Linked DNA regions of Caenorhabditis elegans. The protein of the gene in region 3 interacts with the protein of the main gene of each other region in a pairwise test. Each region holds a gene or a part of one and is shown on either strand. Other genes may lie near its edges.

Region 1 (6,301 bases), on a different chromosome or scaffold from region 3:
AACTGCTTCCCAAATGTAAGTGAAGATTTTTGTTTTTTTCTTCAATTAAAAATTATTAAATTATTCAGTGACGAATCATTCACATCGCCTGCGAACAAGAAGAACAGAAAATCGGCCAGCGTAGTTGAAGTGAAACCTCGAATCAGTGATGAATGGGCCAACAAACTGCACGCATGGCATGGACAAGTCGAGGCTACGGATAAACATTTGAAAAAGTTGACAAGTCAAATTAAGCTGGAAGTTATTGAAGACGAAGAAACATAATCATTTCATTTTCCTTGCTAACCATTTTTTTTAATGAAAATTATACTACATGAATTTTTTTTTTGAAAATTAAATTAAATTTGCTGCTGAGTTGCCTATCATCTCCGACTTTTGTTATTTTATTAATCTCTGTTGGTTCAATCTTTTCAATCTTATACTTTTATCTGTCCAACTTCCAATTATCACCAGTGATAAATCGCCGCAAAAGACCAATTGAAATGGCCTGATATCGTGCATTACATGATTATTTCATACAGTTATCATCTTGTGCTGTAGCCCATTCGTGAAAGCATTGAGTGCACTTTTCAGAATCTTGTTGTAGTTCTACTGAAAATTGGTTTTAATCCTATAGGATAAAATTTTCGTTTGTGATGGGAAGGCAGTATTGAGAAATTGTGGTTTTCGTTTGAAAACGTACTATGCTAAAGTTCTCTTCAAATGACGATTAGTTCAAGGTCTTGCTTAGTTTCCCATTCTTTCTTGAGATACTATCAAATAGTAACTATCTACGACTTTCTTACTTATCCTTTTTTTCTAGAACGCATCCGTATTTTCTCAGTTACTCTTGCACCAAATAACTTATATGACTGCAGATATCAGAAAATATTTAATATGTTATAAAAACTACAAAAAAAAAATTTTGTTTTGAGAAAACAACAGAATTTTCAAAGTTGAATAATAGAGCAAATACCTAAATGCTAAATTTCGCTGTTTAAAAATTACGGTACCCGGTCTCGAAACGGCCAATAATTTTCAGTGAAAGGAGAGGAGTGCGGTTTTAAGGAGTACCGTTGTTCAATTTTTCTTAGTTTTCACACTCACTGTTTATTAAAAATTGAAGCTTAAAAAACAGGAAACGATAAAAAACTAAGAAATCAGCAAACTGCTGAAACTACTGTACTCTTTAAAGGCGTACACTTGTTTTTGTTGACATATTTTTAATCGTGTCAGGTACCGTACAACATGGCACTGGCATCTCCATATAAACATCACTGCATAAGACAAACAAAGAGAAGTTCCACGTTGAACTATTTGGCAAATTTTTGGCAAAACATTATTGTTGTTGCCCCGATAACAACCCAACCAAATCGTTCACAGGTCATCATGCACCAAAATATTGTTAATACTCATTTGTTATCAAATTAAAAGACTTCCCCACTCACTTTTTCTGCTTCAAATACCGCTATTTTCAAAAAATGTTTCGATTTATCTTTTTTGTCTTTTGTAAGAATCCGATTTCTATGAAGGAATCGGCGCCCCGCTGAGAATGTGTATTGCTTCATGTATGCAAAAGTGCACTGAGTGCCACGACGAACGCTTTAGTGAGAGAACGAGAGACCCAGCATGCTATGTTCCTTCTATATAAATATTGAACAAAACAAGTGGTTTTATGCCAGAAGCACGTTTGTTTCTCATTTTCTTGTCATTTTTGCTTAGATTAAGAACATTTAGCGGACATTGATAGTTCTATGACTTCTCTTTTTTCCAATTTACCAACCGTTTGCCACCTTAACGCTCCGCCCTTTTCTCTGATTGTATAAAAGAATCGGACTTAATACGAGCAAATTTCAGTCGGTGAATCTCATCAAACAACGGATTCGTGGTTCCCGACAGAGAATAACTACGGTTAAAACGAACCAAGGAAAATGACGAATACTGGAGAAACTAAAGTTATTGAATCTCATGGAACCATTAAGAAGATCGATTCTCTGTCCACAATGCCATATTGGTAGGTTCTTTATATTAATCTTCTAAACTTAGAGCATCTTTTTATGTCTCAAAATGCTTTTAAAAAAAGCACTGAAATATGCCTCCTTTCTACCAATTCTACCTACTTGACCTCTATCTTATCAGAAGACATGTCTACCACCCATTTGTCCCACTGCGATCACAAACTGATCTCTTATCAGTGTCAACTGTTGGATACCATTGATATTCACGTGATTTGGGCATTTTTATATTGTTGAGAGTGAAAACCTTTCAAAAAAAAAATACAATTTCTGTTCAATTTCAAGAACTTGAAATTTTCAAAAAAAAAGCACGCTGATTATGGCTAAAGTTAGAATGTTTAGTTAAAAAAAAAGAAACATATGAGAAAATGCAGAAAATGACCTGAAAGTTGCCAATTACCGAAAAACAAAGCTTGATAATTCGACAATCGGCAATTTGCAACTTCCAAGTAATTTTTAAGCACTTTTTCAAAATTATCATCCGAAGTAAACTATATTTACAGCTAAATCGATTGATTTCCTATATTTTAAAACTAATTTTTAACGAAAAATGTCGGAGAAACATGGTGCATTTATATACTAGAATTGTCCAAAATATTTGCAAGTTGCAACCTTTTGAATCACAAATAGTATTTTTTTCAAAAATGAGCTAATTGACTTTTAGAAACATAGTAATTACTTATCGTTGCTAATGATTTCATCTCTTATCACCCCACAATATCTTATCAATGAAGGTGAACACGGCAGAGTACAAAACGTGTCTATTATCAGAAAAAAGTTTGTTAGTCCTCTGCGACACATTATTCTCTCTGCACTCGGAAAAGATCGAATACTGATCTATCAAATTTAAATCTAACCGTGTTTTCTTGCCTTCTAGGAGACAATTTGATCAGTATCTCTCTATTAAGTGGAACAAAAGACACCAAGCAAGAAATTTCCAAGGAAAAATACAGGGAAATAATTTATTCGATCCGAAATTTCAAACAAGAAAAAGCTAATATATCATTGATGATAGTGAATTATTATTTCGATGTAGCACTGTATTAGTTCAACATCAGCTTTTTGTTTTCCGAAGTTCTGAAAAATTTGAAAAAAAGTACTTTCCTACTGTGTCAGTATCAAAGAACAAGTTGTCCAAATCATAATTGTTACGTTCCTAGATCTCTCCCGAGATTCATATCGAATCACATGATGATTCTGGAGAAGATATATAACACTCCGCCCTTAGAATCCTGTTTGCCACATTTCTTCATTTGTCGCTAACAAATTTTGTTTCCTCGGAGACTCTAGTTGAAATGGCCGTTTTAAGTAAAAAGTGGGTTGTTGATTCAGGTTTTTTGATCGAATAATATAATATTTTGAATTTCAGTGGTGTTGAGACCGATGAGAATGCGGTTGTCGAGGAGAAGATAACTCTGGAATCTGGAAAGAGCTGGTCACCAAAGTAAGTTTTGATCAGATATAAAGCTATTACTAAACAAATTTATATTTCAGGCATTATGAACTTCTTCACGAGAGAATTGAACGTCTTATCGATGAGAAACAACAATTCTTCTCTCTTGAATTCTTCCCACCTCGATTTGTCAATGGAGTTCCAAACTTCTTAGAGCGTGTTGAACGTCTTTCCGAAGGTGGATCCGTCTTTGTCGATATGACATGGCATATGGGAAGTGATCCAGCTAACGTCGATAAAGTGACTTCATCGTCTTCGATTGCTGCTTCAATGCTTGATTATTGTGGAGTCGACACTATGTTGCATATGACTTGTGTTCAATACAATAAAGCTGATACTTTGAAACATCTCGAGCAAGCCAAGGCAATGGGATTGAGAAGTATTCTTGCTTTGAGAGGAGATCTCCCACCGGGCGTAAGTTAATCATGAAACAAGATTGTCAAAAAATTAAATAATATTTTTCAATTTTAGACTGAGCTCGAAGATACCCATCAATTCCGTGCACTTGATATGATCCGCTGGATCCGCGAAGAATATGGAAACTACTTCTCAATTGGTTGCGCAGGATATCCTCTTGGACATCCACAAGCTCCGTCTTACAAAGCTGATCTTATGTACTTGAAGGCAAAATGTGATGCTGGAGCAAACTTCGTCATTACTCAATTATTCTTTGAGGCTGAAACTTTCGAAAAGTTTGTGCGCGACTGCCGTGAAATTGGAATCACTCAGCCAATTATTCCGGGAATCATGCCAATTATGGGTTATGAGTCTATCAAACGTATTGCCAAACTCTCACAACTTGAGATTCCACAACATATTCTTGATGATCTCGAACCAATCAAGCACGATGATGATGCTGTTCAAAAGTACGGAACAGAGCGTTGCATTGAAATGTGCCGCCGTCTTCTTGACAATGGAACTGCCCCTTCCATCCATCTATACACTATGAATCGTGAAGGAAGTATTCGTGAAATTCTCAAATCTCTTGGTCTCTGGAAACTCGAGGGTGATCGTGTTTTCCCATGGAAAAATCGTTCGCAACATCCTATCAGATGTCTGGAAAGTGTTCGTCCAATTTACTGGAGTTTCCGCCCACGCAGTTACATCACCAGAACTCGTGATTGGGATCAATTCCCTAACGGAAGATGGGGAAACAGTTCATCGCCAGCATTTGGAGATGTCAGCAGCTACTACTTGTCTAATTTGACGGTTCGTTCAAAGATTGTGTTAGAACTTTCTCACAGATAAAATTTCAGACTGTTCGAAACGCCGATGACCGTCTAGCTATGTTCGGAGCCAACATCGAGAGTTTTGAAGACGTCAAGCGCGTGTTCATCAACTACATTACTCAAGCTCCAAACGCCGATGGCGTCAAGGTTACTGTACTTCCATGGACAGAAGCTGAAACTGGTGTTCAGCCAGAAACTTCATTGATCAGTGAACAACTTGTTTGGTGTAATGAGAATGGAATTCTGACCGTCAACAGTCAGCCATCAGTTAATGGAGCTCCATCCACTGATCCACTTGTTGGGTGGGGAAAACCAGGAGGTTACTGCTACCAAAAGGCATACCTCGAATGCTTCATGACCGCGGAGTTGTCCGACAAGCTCATTCAAATCATCGAGAGAGAATTCCCAGTCAGAGTTAACTACCATGCCATCAATAAGGATGTATGTTTAAAAAGTAATTTTAAAAACCATAAAATAAATTCTTCTTCAGAGTACCTTCGACAAGACCAACAGCGAAGAAACCACTCCGATTGCAGTTACTTGGGGAGTATTCCCAGGATCTGAGATTGCCCAGCCAACAGTCGTCGATCCACTCTCTTTCCGCGCATGGAGAGATGAAGCTTACCAAATGTGGATGGCCCAATGGTAAGGTATCTAATCACTCGTTCTGTCTAATTGTTTAATTTTAGGGGAGATTTTTATCCAAAAGAATCTAAATCATATGGAGTCATCAAGGCTGTTCATGATGAGTTCCGTTTGGTTACTCTCGTCGACAACGACTTCCAGAAGCCATCAGTTCTTTTCGACGTACTTCAAAAGGCCCTCGACGAGCTGAAAAAGTAAAAATCATCAAACTAATTTGACTTTTTGACACGTCTGATTTCAATTCATTCAATTTTCCACCACGATATTCACTTCCGTTGATGAAATACACCATTGGTTGGGACACTTCCCCTTATTCTCTATTACCAGTATTACCCTATTAAGTTTTAGCTTCAACAACCCCCGATTCAAAATCGCTCCCTCTTTTATTTTATTTATTTCCGGCTTCCTTGTTTAATAAAATATCAATAATCAAGAAATCTTCATCTAGTTGAATAAATGCTAAAGTTCAAGTATTAGACGGACTCAGTGGGATGATCATCAGACGGATTATCAAGTACAACACGCGAAAGCTCTGTCTCATTCTTCTCTTCTTTTGGTGGACGGAGCATCGAATGCTGAAATTAAAAAACAAATTGAAGATTAATTTAATTAAGTTTTAAATTACCTCACGGCACTGAGTTCCATCAAGACGAGTAATTTGTTGCAAGAGATGAATAACCTTTCCACGATAAGTATCCACTGATGCAATTGGATTGAAATCGAGGTAAACACTATTGAGTTGTGGAAGTTCAACCAATTCATCCATAATGCTCCAGTTATCCAACTAAAATTAACAAAGAATTGATTAGTTATGGAATGTAATCAAATGATCTATATTACCTTATTTCCTCTTGCCCAAAAGTCTGTAAGTGTCTTCAATTGATGGATATTCTCGACCTTCTCAAGACGATTCTGATTGAAATCCAGAATTTCAAGAGGAAGATGCTCATCGATTCCACAAACGTACTTGATGCCATTTT
Region 2 (3,609 bases), on a different chromosome or scaffold from region 3:
AGCTCCACAAGTAAAACAAAATAGGTTCACGAACATCTTCGGCTTTGGTAAAAGTTTCAACCATATGCTGGAAATAGTTGTCATCGGATTTTCCCTTCTCGTATCGTTCACTGATATTAAACTTCAATGCCTTCAGATTCCCATTCTGTGAGTGGTTTTTGGCGAACTTCGACAATTCCCTGGAGAAGTTGTATTCGTGAGTATTTTTGTTGATAATCGTCGAAATGAGTTTGTCCAACGTTTTTCCCGTCAATTTCTCCATAGGAATCGTCATAATTTTGGTTTCCTTGTAGGGTTTCAGCATCTCTTCAACGGCAACCACTGAGATTCCAACCATTCGATCAAAAAACTCTACAAGCTGCTGTTGCATCCTCTCATTGTTACTTATCAATTTATAAGCCGTTTGATCTTTGCCAGATAGCATTAATGGAAGAACAAGATGTTCGAAATGATGATCCCGTAGAAGATTGTACTGAATAGCCATATCTGCAGCAACGGAGAAGTCTTGTTTCTTGATGGCAGCATCTAGCAACTGTGTAATGTCCTCAGTGAATTTCTCTTTGGTGATATCGAAGATTTCACTGAGAAGCTGCTTTTGTCCAATTGTGCACACATCTAAGGCGTTTATTTGAATAGTTCCAGTCAGATATTTCTGTCTGAGCTCCGTCTCCTGTCCCGACTCTTTTAACCAAACTCCAAAATCCTCCAGATACCAAACCGCCAAACTTTGTCCCGATGTTTTTCCTCTATCCGGCATCGCTTTCATCATATCCACAGCCATTCCGTAGATGTTGACTCCTTTAAATGTATAGATTATGAATGAGGGTTTTTTAAAGTTTTTAATAATAAAAGAACTTTAAAATGTTTACCTGATCTATAGTCCTCGTTGAAAAATTCTCGATTTTTGGCTCGAACTTTTCTCTCCCGCTCAGACTCGGGTCCATTCATAATTGCTTTCAGAACTTCCCGGCGTGACTTCAACGGTTCGGCGTAGTCTGTTCGATATTTTGCCTTTTTCTCGGCTTTCGTTAGCTTTCTTTTGTACGGTTCTTCTTCCATTTTCGAAACGGACAAGCTTGATTCTGTAAAAAGTATAAATAAATATTTGTCGAAAAGTTAGTACAAAAGAAATTAATCAAAGAACAAGGAAAACGTGTTTCCCCACGAGAATTCGTATTACGGAGAGGAAAATCTAGAAACGGCCCAAAAACCGAAAGAACAACAGAAAAGCGTTGTGGATTATTCGATATCCAGCACTTTTTGCACAAATTGAGGCAAAAATAATGGAAAAAGAACCAAGAAATCAATGAACAAAATGGAAAATGAATTTTTAAAAAATTGTCGATGGTATTTAAGATGTGCAGGTTAGCGAATAGTACTGTATCACGGCGGCGATTCAAATGATCTACGAAGCAATTACACGAGGAAAATTAATGGAGATTATGGAGCAAATTGAGGGAATTAATTATAGTATAAAAGTTTCGAAAAGGAAAATTATTATTTATTATCCTATTTAGTTCGCCACACAATGGGAGATTTTAGATGCGTAAATAGTTGAGAGTAGAAAGTAAACTGACTGACTCAAAAAATATGTTTAAAATGTTTATTCGAGATTGAGAAAATAAATTAAATTTCACGAAACCTTTTAAATACATAAGTAAAAAAATGTTTTGTTTTTAAATTTGCCACTATCAAAACTGTCTAACTCTCTAACTCTTATCTTCTCTGCGTAACGATAGAGCGCGTTTACATCATTATTTTTTCATTAAATTTTTTCTATAAATATTTCTTCTTTCTACGACAAACGTTCTCCATTATTGTTTTTGCAGACTTTTTCCATCTAACATGGTTCAAGAAAGCATTATTTCATCTTTCCGTGGAAAACTTGAAAACGATCCAAGCAAATCAACGAGTCTAGCCACAGTGGAAACACTGCTCGAGGTTTTAGACCGGAGTCGCGGTAAGTTCCTGAATTTGAATATTTAGGCAATTAATTTTTTGCTTAATTACAGCCACCACCGTTGCCGAATTTCAAAATGAGCTAAATCAAGTAGTTGCTGCTCTCGAGAAAACGGACTACAGCTCAACATCAATTCGAAGTGCCGCTGATTTGTTCACCAGATTCACTTCTCTGGCTCCAGCTGCTCTTCTCGATCAAGAAGATTTTTCTCAAGTTCTTGATCTGTATCGCCAACGAGCACGCTCATTTATAAAGAATGTCAGAGGTTCTCGAGCCAAAATTTCCAAGTGCGCTCGTCTATTTTTCACTCATCATATGGTACGTTTTTTTTTCTATTTAAATAATTCCTATTTAATGTATTTTAATCTTTGTATTTTCTAGAATATTCTGACACACTCATACAGCAAAGTGGTTCTGGAAACTATTCTTGATGCTCACAAAAGTGGATATCACCTTCATGTCTGGGTCACCGAATCGCAACCGGATGCTTCAGGAAAACTAGTGTTTGAAGAATTGAAAAAGAATGGAGTTCCAACTACTTTAGTTCTAGATAGCTGTGTGGGGTGAGTGGAAATTATAAAAAACAATAAGAAAAACGTATATACATTTTTTATTTTTTAAGATATGTCATGGAAAGAATTCAAGCAGTTCTAGTTGGCGCTGAAGGAGTCATGGAAACCGGTGGAATCATCAATAAAATTGGAACTGTTAATGTTTGTATCATCGCAAAATCACGGCATGTTCCCGTCTATGTTTGCGCTGAAACTATCAAGTTTGTACGGGAGTTCCCACTCAACCAGGCCGATATTCCCCAAGAATTCAAAGTAATCAATTTATATCAAATAACTCAATCAGATCTTTCATTATTTCAGTATCGAACATCAGTAATTGAGAGAAACAACCTAGAATTGGAGCATCCCGATGTGGATTACACCGCACCCGAATTTCTGACACTGATCATTACTGATGTCGGCGCAATGAAGCCTGAAGCTGTTGGAGAAGAACTCATTAAAATGTATATCTGAGGGTAGAAATTTATTTGAACGTGTATTTAATTCAATCAAATTAAATTAATTTGTTCTTGTTTTGTTTTTTATAATTATGATTGGTTTTTTTCTTTTACAAAAATAAAAAATAACGTGGAACCCAAAACTATTCATTTCGAGTTTTTAAAAACGCTCATTCATCAAAAAGATGAGTGAAAAGCACTTTATTTTGCCATCTAGCATGCTAATGATAGTTTCGGCTGTCTTCGGAGGTATCGGAATCATCACTACAATCGTGTTCGTGATTCTGACAGTTCTTCATTCAAAAAGTGCGGTTTGTAAACCTGCAGGTTAGTTTTTGTTGCGAAATTGTGCAATTTTTACCCAGAAAGTACGGTTCCCGGTCTCGACGCTACAATTGTTAAATTCTGAAAGGTGTGTGCCTTTAAAGTGTACTGTACTTCGAATTTTTAGACTTTTATTAGTTTTTCGATATTTAAATATTTATTTATTTATCTGAAACTATGAAAAATCGATGCAAATTCCATAACAACGAAAATCTGAAATTACAGTACTCTTTAAAGGCGCACACCTCTTTGGATCTATCAAAAACTTTGCCGTATCGAGACCGGGTATCGTATTAGCATGACGAAAATCGCAAAA
Region 3 (3,308 bases):
CAATGGTGTCGGGCATTGATTGTGGTTCGCTTGGGAAACATTTTTGGTTTTGCTCGTGATCATAATAAGCAAAACCGCTTGTTAGAAAAACAACTTCCAGTAGATCCGTAAATCCTACTTCCCTTTTTTACCTATTTGTGGATTTTTAAATGAAGAAAAATGTATAAAAATTGTCAAGAGCTCCAATCGAAAAACAAAAAAAGGCAGAAGTGGGTCGAAGAAAAGAGTTGACTGCGACAAAGAAGATTTCAATCTCAATTCGACGAAATTTGAAACTCTTCTCTCTTGCATCACACACACTCCTCCCCTTCTTCTTCTTTTGCTCCCCTTTCTTCGCTGATTTACAATTTGAGTGATGTAGTAGTGTATGGAACACTGAAGAGAAGAACTATGGAATAATGCCGTGGAGCAGCTCGCCGGGGAATAGCGGAAGACGGCGGGTGCGTGGTGTACTACGGCGCAGACATCCATCATTAATGGACAGAAGGCATGGACGCGAATGACGAGAAGTGCTTCCTTTAATGTTCTTTCTGCAACATATACATGACTGTTGAACGGAAAAAGGAAATTAATATGTAATCAATCTTTTGGAGCAGGAAAATAATTTAATTCGGGAACGAGAGGGAGATTAACCGGCGATAAATTATACGGGTCACATAAAAAAGAAATGGAGACGAAAGTAATTCACATGGTCTGTGATTCAAATTAGAATCTACATTTGCATTGGTTCGGCGCCACCTGGAGCTGCTGCTGCTGCTGCTCCGCCAGTTGTGCGTGGATGTGTGGAAACTTGGTTGAGATGAACGGCGACTTGAGCATCTTCGAGAAGACTGAATGGAGAATCTTTCCCGACAATTCCAATAGACGTATTCTGAGCGTTGAGGTTTTCTTCGGCTGGAAGTGTGTCGCGAAGAGCAAGGAGAGCATGGACAATCAATTGTTCCGGAGTTGCTGAAAAAAGAAATTGCTCAATTTTATCAATTATATTCCGAAATAAATACATTTCTCGAAGTTATCAACATTTCTCTCGAGGTAAGTGCGCGCAGACTGAGATCTTGCTCCGATTGAAGTTCCATGCATGCTGACGACTTCAGCAGATGGGTCAGTTTGAATGATGTGTGCTCCATCTTTCTGAACAAAAAAATATTTAAAAGAACAATTATATTTATGATGTTCTTACGTCATATCCGGCAATCAGAATTCCAACTCCGAATGGACGACGGCCATAATATTGTGTATTGGCTTGAAGTTCTGAAATAAGAACAATGTCTTGAGAAAATTGCTTCCAAAATTCGCTTACTCAATTGCATAGATTCAGCGAGCTTCTTGATTGGAACCGCTTGCTTGTAATCCCAACGCCAACTCGAGCACTCGGTTTGGAGGTAGCGAGCCAAGATGCGACCATCGGAGAGGAGACCAGCGATGGAAACTCCAGCGTGAGTGTCAATTTCGTACACTTTCTTCTGATGAGACGACAAATCGTTTTGCGCTCTCTGAAACGAATATAATTAATTGAAATTAACATGTTGTTTCGCCAACCTTCAGGGCGACGATGACAGCGTGGGTTTCACTCTTGATTCCAACAGTTGCCGAACCTTGCTTCATCGCCTCAACGGCATATTCGACTTGGTGAAGACGTCCCTGTGGGCTCCAGACTGTTACATCGCCGTCGTATTGGTTGCGGAACATGGTTCAAACCTAAAAGCTCTTAATTACAATTTATTGAAGTTTTTAGCCATTTTTTGCAGTTTTATAAGCAGAGAGTGTGATTCAAGATGAACCAAGAGTTAGAAAAACATATGGAGTTTATTTAAATCCACAGAAACAAAGAAAAAATATTTAGAAGTCGAAAGAAAACCTCTGAAATGAGTTCTAAATTTGAAAGGATGACAAAATAAGCGAGTACGCATACACCACACTTTACGCGCAATTGCTTACCGTATACCTGGCGGCAAAAAGTGAAAGAAATTTCCAGGCATGGAATTCCATGGAATTATGTAATTCTTCTGGTGAAAACTGCGTAAGATCCTCAAAATAATTTCGAAAAAAAGACACTCAAAATCCACGAAGAGAACTGTGAACAAGTAAATATTACACGAAATTGAACGAAAATTGCGAAAACGTGATTGAAAACGTCGAATTAAATTTTGAATCTAATTTTTGAGGAATTGAATATTTAAAATTTAAAATGTTGTCTACTGATGGTGGTGGCCGATTCCCTGACTTCAATATCTTAGAAATTCCTGTTTAAATCTGGCAAGGCTATACTACAAAGCTCTGTCTTTGAAAATCTCTAGTTTCATTTTTCAATCATGTCTATTGAATAATAAATATCTTTCCTCTCATTCACTTTTCTTACCCACTGACCCACTTTCTCTTGTGACTCTCGACAGTGAAACACCGTACCTAATTAGGCAATTTACCAGTAGTTCATATTCATTCTCGGGAGTACGCAATACCACACGCTCATTGAACTTTGAGAAAGGCGATTTGAAATCGAAATTTATATGTTTTCAAACTATTTTCTTCATGAAGTATGGTACTTAATATATATGTCTTGATATTGCTACTTTATGGTTTGAGTGAGTTTTTAAAAAGTTTTGGATTTGAAATCTTTTTTTCTACCAAATTTTTTCTGTCCTTTTTTATTTAAAAAATCATGAAAATTTGTTAATGGTCGCTCTTGAGGTTATTCAAAATTTAAAATTTAATTTTTGGGATTTTAGAAAAATCGCTCATTTTGTAGGGCTTTTTCTATATTGAAAATTGGAACACGGATTAGAACCATTTTGCGTCTAAAATGTAAAAATGCAAAGTGCGGCACAGAAAAATAGGTGTGGTTTAGAGACAAAAGCGCGGTAATTCAAATCAAAAGTTTAGCTAGATATGACCTTCAAATTAATTCAGATACCAGTTTTGCTTGTCACTCCCTGAGCTCTCAGTACAGTCAATTTTCATCTCGAAGAGCCAGAGCTCGCGGAGTCTCATCCCTACAACGTACAAGTGAAAATGCAATTGACTTTGACTACCTCACATCAAATCTACCGTACTCCGCAACTGAAATTCGTTCGATCTCATCTCTTACCCCATTTCCTGTGAAACCAATGCTAACTGTATCCGACGGTGGAAAGCTTACATGTCATTTTGACGATGATATGGAATATTGTGGATGGCATAATGCAGCGGACACTGACATGAAGTTTTTTTTTTCAATTTTAATAGAATTTCAAAAATTACTATTTTTAGATTCTGGAAATCAAAGTTAAACTCAGATAATAATTTTGACTCGCAAAGATTTGACTCTGGAA
Region 4 (6,909 bases), on a different chromosome or scaffold from region 3:
ATATCGAAAATGACGTCACTCATTTGCGCGGGAATTCAAATGTTTCAAATTTAATTCGGTCGTTTCTATGAATTTTGAAATATGTAAAAATTCACTAAAAGTTTAGGACATTTTTGAAAAAATTTTCACAGTCATATTTGGTCATATATTCTAGGCGTATATTCTGTAATTTAAAGCGAAAAATTGTTTAAAAATTTTTCAGTATCAATAATCAAATTCATTCTAATCAATCGATGTTACGTCTATGCAAAACGAATCGAGAATGGGATGCTGGTTAGACAGTCGGATTTAACAAATGTGATGAAGTTTTGAAAGTTCCTTGGAAACACGTGGTGCCAGGCTGTCCCACCACGGTTTGATCTACAAAAAATGCGGCAATTTTTTGCCAAAAAAAGTGTGACGTCAGCACGTTCTTAACCATGCGAAATCAGTTGAGAACTCTGCCGCATTTTTTGTAGATCTACGTAGATCAAACCAACATGGGACACTCTGACACCACACGTTCTGAAATAAATACTTTTTTTTTCTTGATTTGCAAATACAAATTCAACAGCGAATAATTTTATTTACAAACCTGCACGCGTAAAAGATGGGATGATGATGATGATGGAAAATAATCGGGGGAGGACGAATTGTATAACAATTATTACATTCGAAAATTATTTTTTTTTAGCTCAGCTCAAAATTAAAATTCTCAAACAATCAGTGGTTTCAATGGTTTCTGAGTGGTTGCTGCTGTCTCAGCCCCTGCTGCCTCGAGAGCCTCACGTGGTGGATTGTTCTCGAAGAATTTGAGAACAGCTGCGAATGGATCCAACTCCTTCTCATGATTATCTTCAGATGATGTATGTTCAGCATCTTCTTCAGATTCCATTGGTTCAGGTGTTGTGGTGCGTTCTTCGATTCTTGGGAAGCTGTCCTCAATCACAATTGCTCCCTTTCCTTCGAGTTCTGGCTCTTCGGTGGTTGATGGGGTGGCTGAGTTGAGCTCTTTGTTGGCCGCCTGGAATATTACTCATTATGCCTCAGTGAGCACAAAACAGGGGTGGGCCGGAAATTGCCGTTCGGCAAATTTGGCAAATTGCCGGTTTGTCAATTTGCCGGAAATTTTGATTTTCGGAAAATTGCTGATTTGCCGTTTACCGAACATCAATTTGCCGGAAATTTTTAGAGAAATTTTTTATAAGACGGAAACACTTGCCTTTTTGAAATTCAAATTTTTGCCGGTTTGCCGATTTGCCAGAAATTTTAATTCCGGCAAATTGTGGTTTTGCACTTTTTTTTGGCAATTTCAGAACTTCAGAATTACAATATTAGTCGGCAAAATTGTACCGTGCCGACTATATATAAATAAACAATCTTTCTAAACACTTCCGGCAAATTGATATCCGGCAACTCGGCAAACCGGCAGAGAGCCGGAATTGAAATTTTCGGCAAATAGGTGAATTGCCCGAATTAAAACTTTTGGCAAATCGGCAAACTGCTGGAACCAGATCCGCAAATTGCCTGAACTTAAATTTTTGACAAATTGCCGAAATAGAAAATTTCCTGCAAATCGGCAAACTGGCAAAGTGCCGAAAATGAAAATTTCCGGAAAATTGGCAAACTGCCGGTATTGTAATTTCCGGTCAATCGGAAAATCGACAGATTGCCGGAACTCAAACTTCCGGCAAATTGGCAAATTGCCGGAATTGAAAATTTTCGGCAAATTGGCAAACCGGCAAGTTGCCGAAATAGAAAATTTCCTGCAAATCGGCAAACTGGCAAAGTGCCGAAAATGAAAATTTCCGGCAAATCGGCAAAATTTCCGGCAAATCGGCAGCAAATTGGTAAACCGGCGATTCGCCGATTTGCCGATTTGCCGAACCAACATGTTCCTGATGTACAAACCTCTGAATTCTTTTGCTCATCGAAAGCTGAGAAGATATCTCTGAGAATAGTATCAGAAACCTCAGCGGCATCCTCTGGCATTGGTGTGCTGCTCGTGACAACTGCTGGGAATGCAGTGTTGATGGGTGAAGCTGTGACGTCAGCAGTTCCAGATGCAGCTTCTGGAGCTGGAGTTGGAGTGATTGCTGTCCCTGATACAAGATTAATTGAAATTTTTGGGCTTTTTGCAAAAAAAACAACTAACAGATTTGACGAGTTGGTGCGTTGACTGGAATGTTCTGCGACTTCTTCTGAAGTTCCTCGTAGATCTTATCGTGAACTGATGGTTGTGGGATTGGTTGGAAGAATTGTGGAGCCTGTGGGAAACGGTCCTCAGGTTGTTGGGTCTGTTGTGGTTGCTGCTGATGCTGCTGTTGTTGTTGGGATGGGAAGAAGAATTGTTGGGGTGGTTGCTGGAATTTTTTTGATGGTTTTTTGACAAAAAAAATAGTGAAAATTTTTATCGGTTTCAGATCCCGAAAACTAAGCAAAAAACAGAGGTGGGCGGCAAACGATTTTTTTCGGCAAGCCGGCGAATTGCCGGAATTCACAATCTCTGGCTTATCGGCAAGTTGCCGGAATTAAGATTTTCCGGCACACCGGCGAAGTGCCGGAACTGAAATTTCCGGCAAGTCGACAAACTGCCGGAATTGAAAATTTCAGGCAAATCGGCAAATTGCAGGAATTGATAACTTCCGGCACATCAGCAAATTGCCGATATTAAAAATTTCCGGCAAATCGACAAACTGCCGGAATTGATAATTTCAGGCAAATTGCCGGAATTAAAAATTTCATGCAAATTGACAAATTTCCGGAATTGAAAATTTCCGGCAAATCGACAAACTGCCGGAATGGAAAATTTCCGGCAAACCGGCGAACTGCCGGAATTCATAATTTCAGGCAAATCTAAAAATTGCCGGAATTGAACATTTCCGGCAAATCGGCAAATTGCCAAAATTTACAATTTCCGGCAAATCTGCAAAATGCCGGAATTGATAATTTCAGGCAAATCGGAAAACTGTCGGAATTGAAAATTTCAGGCGAATCGGCAAATTACCGGAATTGGAAATTCCCGGAAAACCGACAAGTTGCCGGAATCAAAAGTTTCCGGCAAATCGGCTAACCGGCAAATTGCCGATTTTCAGTTGCCAATTTACTCAAAAAAAATTTGCCGAACTGCAATTGCCGCCCACCCCTGATCCAAATACGACGAAAAATTTTCGAAGTTTTTTGAAAAAAATTATGAAAAAAAAAAGCAAAAATTCAAATTTTTCAAAATGGAAAATGTGTCTAAAATCCAAATGCCAAAAAATTCGTAGCCCATCATCTAAAAATCTACAAATCGCCTTACCTGCCAGACAGTTGGTCTCTCCCATTGTTGCTGATGCATCATTGGTCTTGGCCAGAATCTCTGTCTCTGCTGCTCCTGTGGCTGTTGCTCCTGCTGTTGCCATTGGGCCTGGGCCTGAGCCTGCTGAGTCTGAGCCTGCATCTCCAACTGATGTTGTTGCCAGAAAGCTTGAGCACGCTGCTGTTGAGCATAGGTCTGTTGAGCCTCGTACTGACGACGTTGTTCCTCTTCATAGCGGGATCTCTCGGCCCATTGCTGACGGGCGGCCTCTTCCTGCATCTGTTGCTGTTGTTGTTGCATGTAGGCCATCTTCATTTGTTGTTGTTGGTAGTAGGCGGCTTGAAGTCTTCTCATTCTCATCATTCGCATTGCCATCATTTGTTGCATGTACATACGTTCCTCCATTATTTGTTGGAATTGTTGGCGGGCCTCCATCATTCGGTATTGCTGAAAAAATTGCTTTTATTGATTTATTAGACTCAAAATTGTCTGAAAATATCGAATTTCTTAATGAAACTTCTTAAAAACCTCTTGAAAAAAAAGTTATGGCAGCTCAAAAAATGGCCTAAAATTTTTAAAGCAGTTTAGCTGGCTTGAGGCGGGTAGGCATTCCCTTCAGGCAGGCCCTGGAACCGCGCCTGTCTATGGAAGCCCTACATATGCATATATATATATATATATATATATATATATATATATATATATATATATATATATATATATATATTTATATATATATATATATACAAATCCATATTTATGTATATATATGGTATAATTTGGTAACTAACCTCAATCTCATCTGGATGAAGTGGGCGATCCAAATTGGTAGAGGACTTCTCCTCAACTGATCCATCAACAGTTGTCTTCTTTTGACCTTCATTATTCGAAATATCCTCCACTACAACTACCCGAGCCAAGGGAATTGCCATCATTCCTGGATTTTCCGCAGAGTTTATAGTCTTTTCAGATGATCCATCAATTGGTTGAGCTAGAAGTGCCTCCATTTGTGGCTTGTTCACGGATGTTTCGGTTTTCTGGAATATCAATTAATTAAGTTTAAAAAAGCTTAAAATTAAAAAAAAACCCTGTACCTTGAAGAGATCAGGAGTAGCGGCGAGGAAGTAGAAACCGATGAGTGTCACCAGCAAAAGACACGTGGCAAAGAACATGCAATGGAAGCATGCTCTCATCGCCTGGAAAGCTGGCGATGGAGCAGGCTTCATTGGTGGAGCCGGCATTGGGATCACTGTGGGCTGGAGGACTGTGAACACCTGGAATAATTCAGATTTTGTTGATATTTCTACTAACGTTATTATTATTATTGTTACCGAATATATTCTTTGTGAGAAAATTTGAATTTCGCGCCAAAAAATGTTCTCAGAAAATTTGAATTTCGCGCCAAAAATTATTCTCGGATAATTTAAATTTCGCGGCAAAATACGTTTTCTCATAAAGTTTGAATTTCGAGTCAAATGTATTTTCTCATAAAACTTTAAATTAGCGCCAAAAAAATTTCTAATAAAATTTGAACTTCGCGCCAATATACGTTTTCTCAGAAAATTTGATTTTCCAGCTAAAATTTTTTTGTGAAAAATTTTGAATTTCGAGGCAAACTGTTTTTACACGTGGTGCCGGGCTGCCCCATCACGGTTTGATCTACAAAAAATGCAGGAACTTTTTTGCCCAAAAAACATGACGTCAGCCATGTTCTTAACCATGCGAAATCAGCTGAGAAGCCTGCGTCTGAAATCCCGCATTTTTTGTAGATCTATGTAGATCAAGCCGAAATGGGACACTCTGACACTACGACTTGTTACTCATAAAATTTGTAATTCGCGCCAAAACGTGATCTCTTAAAAAAAATTCGAATTTCCAGCTGAAATTTTTTTATGAGAAAATTTGAACTTCGCACTAAAAACAGTTCTCAGAAAATTTGAATATTTTTAATAGAAACTCACTTTTGGATCGATCTTGATAGACTCCTTCTCAACGTCCTCACTCCCGTGAACGCCGGGCTGTGCGCCTAGTTTGGTCATCTGTAAATGATTCTTGATTAGATATTCGAGTAAAAGACAAAAACAAAAAAAAGAGAAGAGATCAATGCGCACAATAGGAGAATTAGAGAAGCGGCTCACTTTCTCTCGCGGAGCATTAAACATTTTTGACAGGTTGGCATTCACGACTCTTCCGCGCGGTGTAGGAAAATGAACAAAAAATGATCTCCCGATGTTTTGATAGGAAGTGACACCAAGTTTTGAAGAAACACACAAAACGAGTTTTTAAAATAGCCGGCCACTTGGTTACTGTACACTTGAGAGAGGAATGACGTCATTCGTTTTTGTTTTTGACCAGAAAATCTCGATCAGATGATGATAAAGATTTCTGTGAAAAATTTTAAAATGATAAAGGATACTTTGATTTTTGATTTCTTTTCCATTTTTTGCAGCAAGGGTTTAAGGGCAGAGTATAATATACAAAGTTTGATGGTTCAGGTAAAAATAGGTAGGATGTGTTAATTCAAATGCGGAGGGTTTATTTTTCTCTTATTATAAATATTAATGTGCCTGCATACAAGGTGGAGTACGGCCTAAAATGAACAAATATCATAGTAAAGCTATTAATATAATTTCGGAACATTTTTCATTTTGAGTTAAAAAAAAAGTTCTGATTCCAGTTTTATGCTTTAATTATTTTTGAAATATTCATACATGCTGCAGATTCTTCGAAAAAATGTCTACATTTTTTTGAAATGTTTTAGTATGATTTTTGGTATTTTTAGCGCTCTGCATGATTTTTAAAAAATGTGAGTTATAATAATTTTTTTTGTAAATTTTGTGATTTTTAGTTAGTTAAACTCATATCGAGAACTGTCTTAAAACGAAAAAATTGGTGAGAAAAAGCCCGTTTGCTCTAAAAAATATTCATTTAGAACTAGTATTGGTGGGCGGCAAACTGCCGGTTTGCTGATATTCCGGAATTTTCGATTTTCGGCAAATTTCCGATTTGCCGGAAGTTTTTAGAGGGCTTTTTTATGAGACTGATAGTGAAACACGAAATTTCGAACAAAAAAAAAATGCAAAACCACAATCTGTCCGACAATTGCCGTTTTTCTGGAAAATGCGGCAAATCGGCAATTTGCCGGTTTACCGACTTGCTGAAAATTTCAATTCCGGCAATTCGCCAATTTGGCGGAAAAATTATTTACCGCCCAACCCTGATACATGCAACACTAACAGGGAAGTATGTATATACAGAAGTTTACGATACATACCGTATTTCCTCTATTAGTTTTGCACCCGCTTGCTCAACTTTGACAGCTCATATCTCAGTAGTTCTTTGTTCCATAGAAAAGTTGTCAACTGATAAAATTTTTGTGAGATGTTTTTCTATAGTTTGTAGTTTGTTAATTATTTATATGTTCAAAACAAAATGAGATATGAGCTGTCAAAGTTGAGCAAAGGGGTGCAAAACTAAAAGAGGAAATACGGTATATTCCAAATTATTTTTGTCCTATTATAAGTTATTATCGGTTTTTAATGTGGTTGCCACAATTTTAAATATTCTCCGATCAGAATTACAGTATTCCCCTCCCCCCCCCCCCACCTACGCTTGCCTACTTATTTTAT

What was found.
Region 1: the proteins of pas-6 (region 3) and mthf-1 interact in a two-hybrid assay, tested with the Caenorhabditis elegans proteins (3 studies listed by BioGRID).
Region 2: the proteins of pas-6 (region 3) and eif-2Balpha interact in a two-hybrid assay, tested with the Caenorhabditis elegans proteins (4 studies listed by BioGRID).
Region 4: the proteins of pas-6 (region 3) and brp-1 interact in a two-hybrid assay, tested with the Caenorhabditis elegans proteins (3 studies listed by BioGRID).

Annotation. Positions count from the first base shown.
Region 1 is NC_003280.10:7,773,359-7,779,659, reverse strand, and holds mthf-1 (putative methylenetetrahydrofolate reductase (NADPH)), read left to right. Parts: upstream 1-1,836; 5' UTR 1,837-1,910; coding exon 1,911-1,993; intron 1,994-3,154; exon of another isoform or gene 3,155-3,289; coding exon of another isoform or gene 3,290-3,309; intron 3,310-3,363; coding exon 3,364-3,438; intron 3,439-3,488; coding exon 3,489-3,861; intron 3,862-3,918; coding exon 3,919-4,656; intron 4,657-4,703; coding exon 4,704-5,117; intron 5,118-5,166; coding exon 5,167-5,321; intron 5,322-5,365; coding exon 5,366-5,519; 3' UTR 5,520-5,752; downstream 5,753-6,301. Other genes in the region: snpc-1.1 (snRNA-activating protein complex subunit 1), read left to right, coding at 1-15, 69-264; C06A8.6 (U2A'/phosphoprotein 32 family A C-terminal domain-containing protein), read right to left, coding at 5,795-5,896, 5,947-6,105, 6,162-6,301.
Region 2 is NC_003281.10:9,541,297-9,544,905, forward strand, and holds eif-2Balpha (Translation initiation factor eIF2B subunit alpha), read left to right. Parts: upstream 1-1,822; 5' UTR 1,823-1,845; coding exon 1,846-1,960; intron 1,961-2,012; coding exon 2,013-2,278; intron 2,279-2,341; coding exon 2,342-2,523; intron 2,524-2,582; coding exon 2,583-2,784; intron 2,785-2,832; coding exon 2,833-2,985; 3' UTR 2,986-3,108; downstream 3,109-3,609. Other genes in the region: Exonuclease mut-7, read right to left, coding at 1-798, 870-1,059; ZK1098.9 (uncharacterized protein), read left to right, coding at 3,155-3,296.
Region 3 is NC_003283.11:5,582,646-5,585,953, forward strand, and holds pas-6 (Proteasome subunit alpha type-1), read right to left. Parts: upstream 1,699-3,308; 5' UTR 1,690-1,698; coding exon 1,540-1,689; intron 1,494-1,539; coding exon 1,301-1,493; intron 1,252-1,300; coding exon 1,181-1,251; intron 1,132-1,180; coding exon 1,002-1,131; intron 952-1,001; coding exon 713-951; 3' UTR 516-712; downstream 1-515. Other genes in the region: CD4.11 (MAM domain-containing protein), read left to right, coding at 2,537-2,582, 2,908-3,199, 3,247-3,308. UniProt on the Caenorhabditis elegans protein: The proteasome is a multicatalytic proteinase complex which is characterized by its ability to cleave peptides with Arg, Phe, Tyr, Leu, and Glu adjacent to the leaving group at neutral or slightly basic pH.
Region 4 is NC_003281.10:12,018,962-12,025,870, reverse strand, and holds brp-1 (uncharacterized protein), read right to left. Parts: upstream 5,320-6,909; coding exon 5,242-5,319; intron 4,555-5,241; coding exon 4,375-4,554; intron 4,318-4,374; coding exon 4,072-4,317; intron 3,728-4,071; coding exon 3,281-3,727; intron 2,343-3,280; coding exon 2,135-2,342; intron 2,082-2,134; coding exon 1,891-2,081; intron 1,004-1,890; coding exon 695-1,003; 3' UTR 550-694; downstream 1-549. Other genes in the region: Y79H2A.12 (Serpentine Receptor, class BC (Class B-like)), read left to right, coding at 203-312.